Macaca fascicularis: one gene and its partner. The protein of the gene in region 1 interacts with the protein of each later gene in a pairwise test. Links are inferred from orthologs where the notes say so. Each region holds a gene or a part of one and is shown in the gene's direction. Other genes may lie near its edges.

Region 1 (4,077 bases):
CAGCCTCGGAGTAGCTGGGATTACGGAGTGCGCCACTACTCTTGGCTAATTCTTGTAGTTTTAGTAGAGATGGGGGTTTCACCATGTTGACCAGGCTGGTCTCGAACTCCTGACCTCAGGTGATCCTCCAGCCTGGGTCTCCCAAAGCGCTGGGATTACAAGTGTGAGCCACCGCGCCCGGCCTGATCCCCCTAGTTTCTCAAGTCTGAAACCTGAGACACTTCCCCAGATTTTTCTTTCTCACCCACCCCAGCAACTATTCAATTAACAGGTATTTCTCTCTCTCATATAGTTCAGCGTTCTCTTTCAACCCCCAGGTCATTCCTTCGGTTTAAGTCCTCACCATCTCGTCTGGCATTCTTCCTAGAGTGTCATAATTAGTGTCCATGCCATTGGCACCCCCCCGCAACTTTCAATCCAGCCTCCAACACTGAGACAGAAGTCAGTGCTCTGCCTTAAATTCATCAACGCTACTCCAAGCATATCAGGAAGCCCAGGACAAAACCGTCCTTACTTGACCCTTGGCTGACTTTCTAATTCTCAGGTCTCACTTGTTCCTCTGCAGCCTTGCATACTGAACTACTCATTGCGATCCCCGGCTTGCCAGGCTATTTCATCTCTCCAAGGTTTTGGCAGAGGCTATTCGTGCTTTCCGGACCAATCCTACCCTGGCTTATGGAGTCCACCTGGAAAATTCCCACAGGTTCGTTCTTCGACTCGGTTCAAACGGCACGTCCTCTGGGAAGGCTTCCCTGATTTCCAACACTCTTGGGGCCTGTACCACGTCTACCTGGCGCTGGGGCTACTCACGGCATAAAGTGCCCCCACACACTGTCCTCTTCTCCACGGACAGGGACCAGGTCTGATTCCCCTTCGGAGACCCCCCCCTCAACGGTGCCAAGCTCAGGGTTTGGCCCCGGTCGAGAAGTCAGCCCCGCGTTGCTGGAGGAACCGGGTCACTGCTGCGACTCCATTTAGCAGCTGAGGTCTCAGGGAACAGCTTTAACCTCCTCTGGGCTACCAACCCGTGCACTGGCCGGAAACCGAGGCGAGAAAGCCTCGTGAGCCCGCTCACAGGCGCCCGGAACTGGGCCGCGGACTCCCTCCCCGCGCCCGCGCAGCTCCTGGCGCGCCCCTCGGCGCCCCGCCCCGCGCCCCGTGTTCCGCGCCAGGCCTCCCTTGGGCCCGCGAGCAAGTCACGTGCGCCGCGCCTCGGCCAATGTGGCGGCTGCGCAGCGCCCGGGCCCGCCCCTGGGACGCGCGCACGTCGGGGGCGGGAGCGGCGCACGCAGCTTCTCGGGCCAATAACTGCGCAGCGCGCGGGACCCCGGTGGGGAAGCTCCAGCTGTCGCGGGGTCCGCGCGGGAGTCGGGGCGGCGGAGCCATGGTCGGCCAACTGAGCGAGGGGGCCATTGCGGTGAGGAGGTGCCGGGGGCCGGGCCGGCGGTGCGGGATGGCTGCGGCCCCGAGCCTCGCGGAGTGGAGAGGGGGAGGGGAGCCCGGGGCGACGGGGGATGAACGCGAGGGGAGGAGAAGGCGGGGGGCGGTGGGGACCCGCCGAGCCCCCGTCTAGTGTCATCACCCCCTCCTCAAAGCATTCTTCTGATCGTCTTTGAAACATGCTCACGTTTTTCCTACTTAAGAACAAAGTAAATAAACGCTTGCCTTTTTCTGGATCTTCCACCTGCGGCCACTTTCTGTTTCTTCTCCTTTCCTGCCCCGCAGCCAAACTTCTTGTCTGGTTTCAGCCACTTCCTTTCCTCGCCTCTCATCAACTCTTTAACCCACTCCAGGCATCCCCTTGATCGCTGTAGAAAACCCTGGCTCAAGGGACCAGTGTCCTCCAAGTTGCTAAATCCAGCCCTTTTCCGTTTTCAGCTTACCTGAGTTCTCAGCAGCGTTTGCTTTTGAGCCCTGCTTCTTCTGCTCACGCCCTCTTCCTTGGGTTTTAGTGGCTCAGCTTGGCGGGTCTATCCCCGTCTTATTTGCAGGCCCCTCTTTGTAAATTTTTGTTGACTCAAGGCTCCCTCTAGGCCCTCTTGACTCCCAAAGGCAATTTCTTTTTTTTTTTTTTCTTCCAGCCTGGGCGACACTCACTGTGTGAGTGTCACACTGTGTCGCCCAGGCTGGAGTGCAGTGGCGCGATCTCGGCTCACTGCAACCTCCGTCTCCCGGGTTCAAGCGATTCTCCTGCCTCAGTCTCCCGAGTAGCTGGGACTACATGTGTGCGCCACCACACTTGGCTACTTTTTTGTGTTTTTATTAGAGACAGGGTTTCATCATGTTGGCCGGGCTGATCTCGAACTCCAGACCTCCATTGTGTCGCCCGCCTCGGCCTCCCAAAATGCTGGGATTACAGGCGTGACAAATTTCTTTGTATTGAGCCACCTTTACTCTAAAAGACAAACTTCTATAATCTATCTGCTTATTCCATGCTTCAGAGGCTTTTAAGTTCAATATACATATCCCAAAGCAAATTCGTTATCTTTCTAAGTCTGGGCCTCTTGATCCCTATCTCCACGAATGGTACCATTATCTGTTCAATTCAGTGCTAACCAGAGATTGAGAAATCATTCCTCCTACATTGTCCATCACCTGGGCGTCCAGTTCCTCACCAAGCGAAGTGTATTGTACCTCCGCGTAGATCTACCAAGCCCACCGGCTTCTTTCCATCCATACTGGCACCATCTTTTTTTTTTTTTTTTTTTTGCCTGGGCTGTTCACTTCCACTCAGCATACGTTCCTGCCACCATTCCCATCCACAGCATACTCTCAGCCTACTCTCCAGTCACCCCCACATTTTTTTTTACATTTAGATTTCTGGTATTTTTCATACTCCTCCCTTCTTCCATGGGGCATTTGAACATTTTTTTTTTTGAGACGGAGTCTCGCACTGTCACCCAGGCGCCCAGGCTGGAGTGCAATGGCAGGATCTCGGCTCACTGCAAGCTCCACCTCCCGGGTTCACGCCATTCTCCTGCCTCAGCCTCCCAAGTAGCTGGGACTACAGGCGCCCGCCACCATGCCCAGCTAATTTTTTGTATTTTTAGTAGAGATGGAGTTTCACCGTGTTAGCCAGGATGGTCTCGATCTTCTGACCTCATGATCCTCCTGCCTCGGCCTCCCAAAGTGCTGGGATTACAGGCATGAGCCACCTCGCCTGGCCGAACATATGTGCCCTTGAGTATTACATTTTGTCGCTTTGTATACTTACTAGGGCTTTTCTTTTTTTTTTTTTTTTTTTAGACAGGATCTCACTCTGTTGCCCAGGCTAGAGTGCAGAGGCGCGATCTCGGCTCGTGGCAACCTCCACCTCCCGGGTTCAAGCGATTCTTTTGCCTCAGCCTCCCAATTACAGACGTGTGCCACCACGCCCAGCTAATTTTTGTATTTTTAGTAGAGACGAGGTTTTGTCATATTGGTCAGGCTGGTCTTGAACTCCTGTCTTCAAGTGATCTGCCCACCTCGGCCTCCCCAAGTCCTGGGATTACAGACTTGAGCCATTGCACCGGGCCGTAGTCTTTTTTTTTTAAATGACAGTCTCGTTTTTTGTCTCTCAGGCTAGAGTGTAGTGGTACGATCATAGCTCACTGCAACCTCTAACTCCTGGGCTCAAGTGATCCTCCCACCCTAACCTCTCGAGTAGCTGGGACTACAGGTGCATGCCACCGTGCCCAGCTAATTTTTTTTTTTTTAATTTTGTGTAGAGATGGGGTTTCACCATCTTGCCTAAGCTAGTCTCGAACTCTTGGCCTCCAAACAGTTCTCCTGCCTTGCCTCCCAAGTCTTTGGGATTATAGGCATGAGCCACTGTGCCTGGCCTTGTCCCTTAAAATGAGTTATCCATTTGTAAACAGCTGGTTTCTTTGGAGCATTGTCCCCATATACTTTTCTTTCATAAAGCATTGGTGATTTCACCCTTCTTCCACCCAAGCTTCACCTTGAATTTGGTGTTCATTGTTGCTTCCATTTTAGCAGAATTCGTGTTGCTCCCATGGGACTCTTTTCAAATTGATGTCTAATCCTTCTTAGTGCCTCACACTAGATCTTGTTCAGACACGTTATAACAAGTTAGTA
Region 2 (4,089 bases), on another chromosome or scaffold:
GCGAGACGGAGTCTCGCTCTGTCGCTCAGGCTGGAGTGCAGTGGCACGATCTCGGCTCACTGCAACCTTCGCCTCCCAGGTTCAAGCAATTCTTCTACCTCAGTCTCCTGAGTAGCTGGGACTACAGGCGCGCACCACCATGCCCGGCTGATTTTTGTATGTTTAGTAGGGAAGGGGTTTCACCATAGTGGCCAGGCTGGTCTCGAACTCCTGATCTCGTGATCCACTTGCCTCGGTCTCCCAAAGTGCTGGGATTACAGGCGTGAGCCACCGTGCCTGGTCAATTTTATTCTTTTAAAACTTGAAAGGTATATATAACTTCATGTTCTTCTATAAGTTTTAGATATACTCCACATATTTCTGTAATTTTGAGATAGCAAAAAGTGAATTATTTTAACCAGTAAAAGAAATGAGAGCATTAATAAACTCCTCAAAACTCTACTAATTTAAGCTATTAACTAACTACAAAGGATTGTTAGGAGGTTACTTGCCAATGGTGGGTTCCAGTAACTGTGGTTCCTTTATTAAGCCTTTAAATCAATAACACCCAAAATAAAATATTTTATAAAGAAAAACAAAATTTCAATAAAATATCAAAACATTCTTGGCCGGGCATGGTGGCTTACACCTGTAATCCCTGCACTTCAGGAGGCTGAGGCAAGTGTATTGCTTGAGTCCAGGAGTTTGAGACCAGCCTGGCCAACATGGTGAAACCCCGTCTCTACTAAAAATACAAAAAAGTCAGCTAGATGTGGTGGTGTGTGCCTGTGGTCCCAGGTATTCAGGAGGCTGAGGTGGAAGGATCACCTGAGCCCGGGAGGTGGAGGTTGCAGTGAGCCCAGATCCCGCCACTGCACTCCAACCTGGGAGACAGAGCCAGACCCTGTCTCAAAAAAAAAAAAAAAAAAAAAAAAAAAAAAAAATCTGGGATCTATTTGTATAACTGCTAGAAGTTCAGAATTTACTCCGTAAGAGTATATAAAAAACTTACTGTGATTTTATCCATGTTTTTCCTAATATGTAATAGGCGTAAATCTTGTACTTTTCTGTCCTTTCCACAGAGCCTTGAAAATAATTTAGAGCTCAGTCATTCAGTTTGGATTTATGTATAAATTGAAATATATTAATTACTTATTTATAGTGCACTTGGCAAAAAATACCTGGAAAATTACAATTTTAAAACAACAAAAAATTTTAAAAAGCCAGTGTTAAGATGTGACTTATCTTAGAGTATGATAATCATTGAAAGACGATTGTCTTGCTATTTCTTAAAAAATACTCCTAGGTTTTTTTTTTTTTTTTTTTTTTTTTTTTTTTTGAGATGGAGTTTTGCTCTTGTCACCCAGGCTGGAGTGCAGTGGCGCTGTTTCGGTTCACTGCAACCTCTGCCTCCTGGGTTCAAGTGATTCTCCTGCCTCAGCTTCTCCAGTAGCTGAGATTACAAGTGTGCACCACCTCGCCTGCCTAATTTTTGTATTTTTAGTACAGACGGGGTTTCACCACGTTGACAGCCTGGTCTTGAACTCCTGACCTCAAGTACTCCATCTGCCTCGGCCTCCCAAAGTTCTGGGATTACAGGCGTGAGCCACTGCACCCGGCCCAATGCTCCTGGTTTTAACGGTTTGAATGAACGGGGGACGTGAATTCTTGAGAACAGTAATCACGGTGGTACATTTTTCCCCCTGCACATAACGTACAGCACTCTACCGTTTTGCCAAGCACTTCATGCTCCTAAAATTTCTGTTGCATTGTTGTTTGAATGAATGAATAAATGAGTCTTTTAAAAGTAATTGTAGAAGTTGTAGCATTAAGAAATGAAGAGGGGGACTAGTAAAAATGCATTTTTATAGAGATGTTGGGAAAGGCTTGCTTGAAATTACACGTGGGACTTTTACTAGACAGGCGCTTTGACCAGCTAAGCAACAGGGCTCCCCTCGTGTGGGGCTTTTAGAATGTAGCAACCACTGACACACAGGGAAGGATTATGCCGTCAGGTGAGAAGGTGGCCGACCCTGACTGGCTGGAAGCAGACGCATTCTGGTAGCTGATTGGTCCACAGGTAGCGTGAAGCTTGTCACGTCCTCAGGCTCCCAGCATTCAATCGTAGCCTTTCAGACAGCTTGAAGCCTTCTGTGGAGAGCTCAAAGCCTTCTGTGGAGAACTCAAAGCTGTCCGTGGAGCCCCAGACGAGCCAAAGCCCACCTTCTCCTCGGCCTGAACTGTCTTGAAGATGAGTAACAGTGGGTTTGGGAGCTATGGCAGCATTTCTGCTGCTGATGGAGGGAGTGGAGGCAGTGACCAACTGTGTGAGAGAGATGCAGCTCCTGCTATTAAGACCCAAAGACCTAAGGTCCGAATTCAGGACGTTGTACCGTGTAATGTGAACCAGCTTCTCAGCTCTACTGTGTTTGACACTGTGTTCAAGGTTAGGGGAATTATAGTTTCCCAGGTCTCCATCGTGGGGGTAATCAGAGGGGCAGAGAAGGCTTCAAATCACATTTGTTACAAAATTGATGATATGACTGCGAAACCAATCGAGGCCCGACAGTGGTTTGGTAGAGAAAAAGTCAAGCAAGTGACTCCACTGTCAGTCGGAGCATATGTCAAAGTGTTTGGTATCCTCAAATGTCCCACGGGAACAAAGACCCTTGAGGTATTGAAAATTCATGTCCTAGAGGACATGAACGAGTTCACTGTGCATATTCTGGAAACGGTCAATGCACACATGATGCTGGATAAAGCCCGTCGTGATACCACTGTAGAAAGTGTGCCTGTGTTTCCATCGGAAGTGGATGATGCTGGGGATAACGATGAGAGTCACCGCAGTTTCATCCGGGACGAAGTGCTGCGTTTGATTCATGAGTGTCCTCAACAGGAAGGGAAGAGCATCTATGAGCTCCAGGCTCAGCTCTGCGACCTTAGCCTCAAGGCCATCAAGGAAGCGATTGAATATCTGACGGTCGAGGGCCACATCTATCCCACTGTGGATCAGGAGCATTTTAAGTCTGCTGATTGAGGCAGGGAAAACATCCTTTCCTTTTCCAAAGATCCCTGCATCCATCTGAGAGTAATTTTGACCTGATGACTTTTTAGGAAGTAGGACTAAAAAAAAAAAATCTCAAGTGGCATTCTTTGTCAACTCGCTGCTTTTCTAACTGCTTTGAACTCTTCAGATTTTCTATATTTGAAGCTCAGAGAGAGATGGTGATGGATAAATTGACAACTCTGTAGGATTTACTAGCAAGCTAATGGAAACATGATGACTTGAGGGGAAGAAAAACTACAGAAAATGTAGAAATGTATTATTTAATTGTGTTGGAGCTTCTTTTCCCAAAAAAAAACCAAACAACAACAACAACAACAAAAAGTCTTGCTTGTTTTTATGTTAGAGTTATTTCCATGTTTGGATTTAGCGTATAATGATATTATCTCTTGTTCAATATAGTATTTAGTACTTCATTAATTCAAATGAGCTGAAGATATTAATTTGTGAATTCTAATGCTCAGTTCAAACATTTATGTGTGATTTGCTCTCATTACTATCAATTTATGTTTTCTTAAAATAAGATTATACTATGTTTAAATAAATCATTTTTGCCAGGTTATCTTTGAATTTTTTTTTTAATGTGGTGAAGTTTAATGATTATTTCATACATGACGTGGTATTTGGATGAAATTACAATTTATTGCACTTGCATGGTAAATGGATGCCAGAGTTTCTGTAAGTTTGATGTGCTGGTGTATTATTTATTTTACTAAATGCTCTGTTTTATGTATAACAAGGTAATTTTTAGGAGGTTAGGGAAGCAAGTCATGGGAATATGAAACTTCCTGAGTTTAACACAAATTTATTCAAATGTTTTATTAAAATAGTTTTATAAAATCTTAACTTTCCTGTGTGATTTTTTTTCTAAGTACATTTGAAAAAGCATTTTTGTTTTATATCCTTAAGGATTAATAGTTTTAATTATCCAGATTTTTTTCTTTTCTATATATAATACCAAGAACATATGCTATAGCCTAGTTCTAACAATACATTTTAGTGTAGATTATATAAATTATATGAGACTTTTAAATAATTGACCATTA

The links.
Region 2: the proteins of RPA1 (region 1) and RPA4 interact in binary tests that used the Homo sapiens proteins (3 or more experiments, as listed by UniProt). The link is inferred for Macaca fascicularis from reciprocal best matches to the Homo sapiens genes RPA1 and RPA4.

Annotation. Positions count from the first base shown.
Region 1 is NC_088390.1:1,945,552-1,949,628, forward strand, and holds the start of RPA1 (replication protein A 70 kDa DNA-binding subunit), read left to right. Parts: upstream 1-1,277; 5' UTR 1,278-1,384; coding exon 1,385-1,417; exon of another isoform or gene 1,418-1,425; intron 1,426-4,077. Other genes in the region: SMYD4 (SET and MYND domain-containing protein 4), read right to left, coding at 344-388. UniProt on the Homo sapiens protein: As part of the heterotrimeric replication protein A complex (RPA/RP-A), binds and stabilizes single-stranded DNA intermediates that form during DNA replication or upon DNA stress.
Region 2 is NC_088395.1:103,604,322-103,608,410, forward strand, and holds RPA4 (replication protein A 30 kDa subunit), read left to right. Parts: upstream 1-1,289; 5' UTR 1,290-2,230; coding exon 2,231-3,016; 3' UTR 3,017-3,886; downstream 3,887-4,089.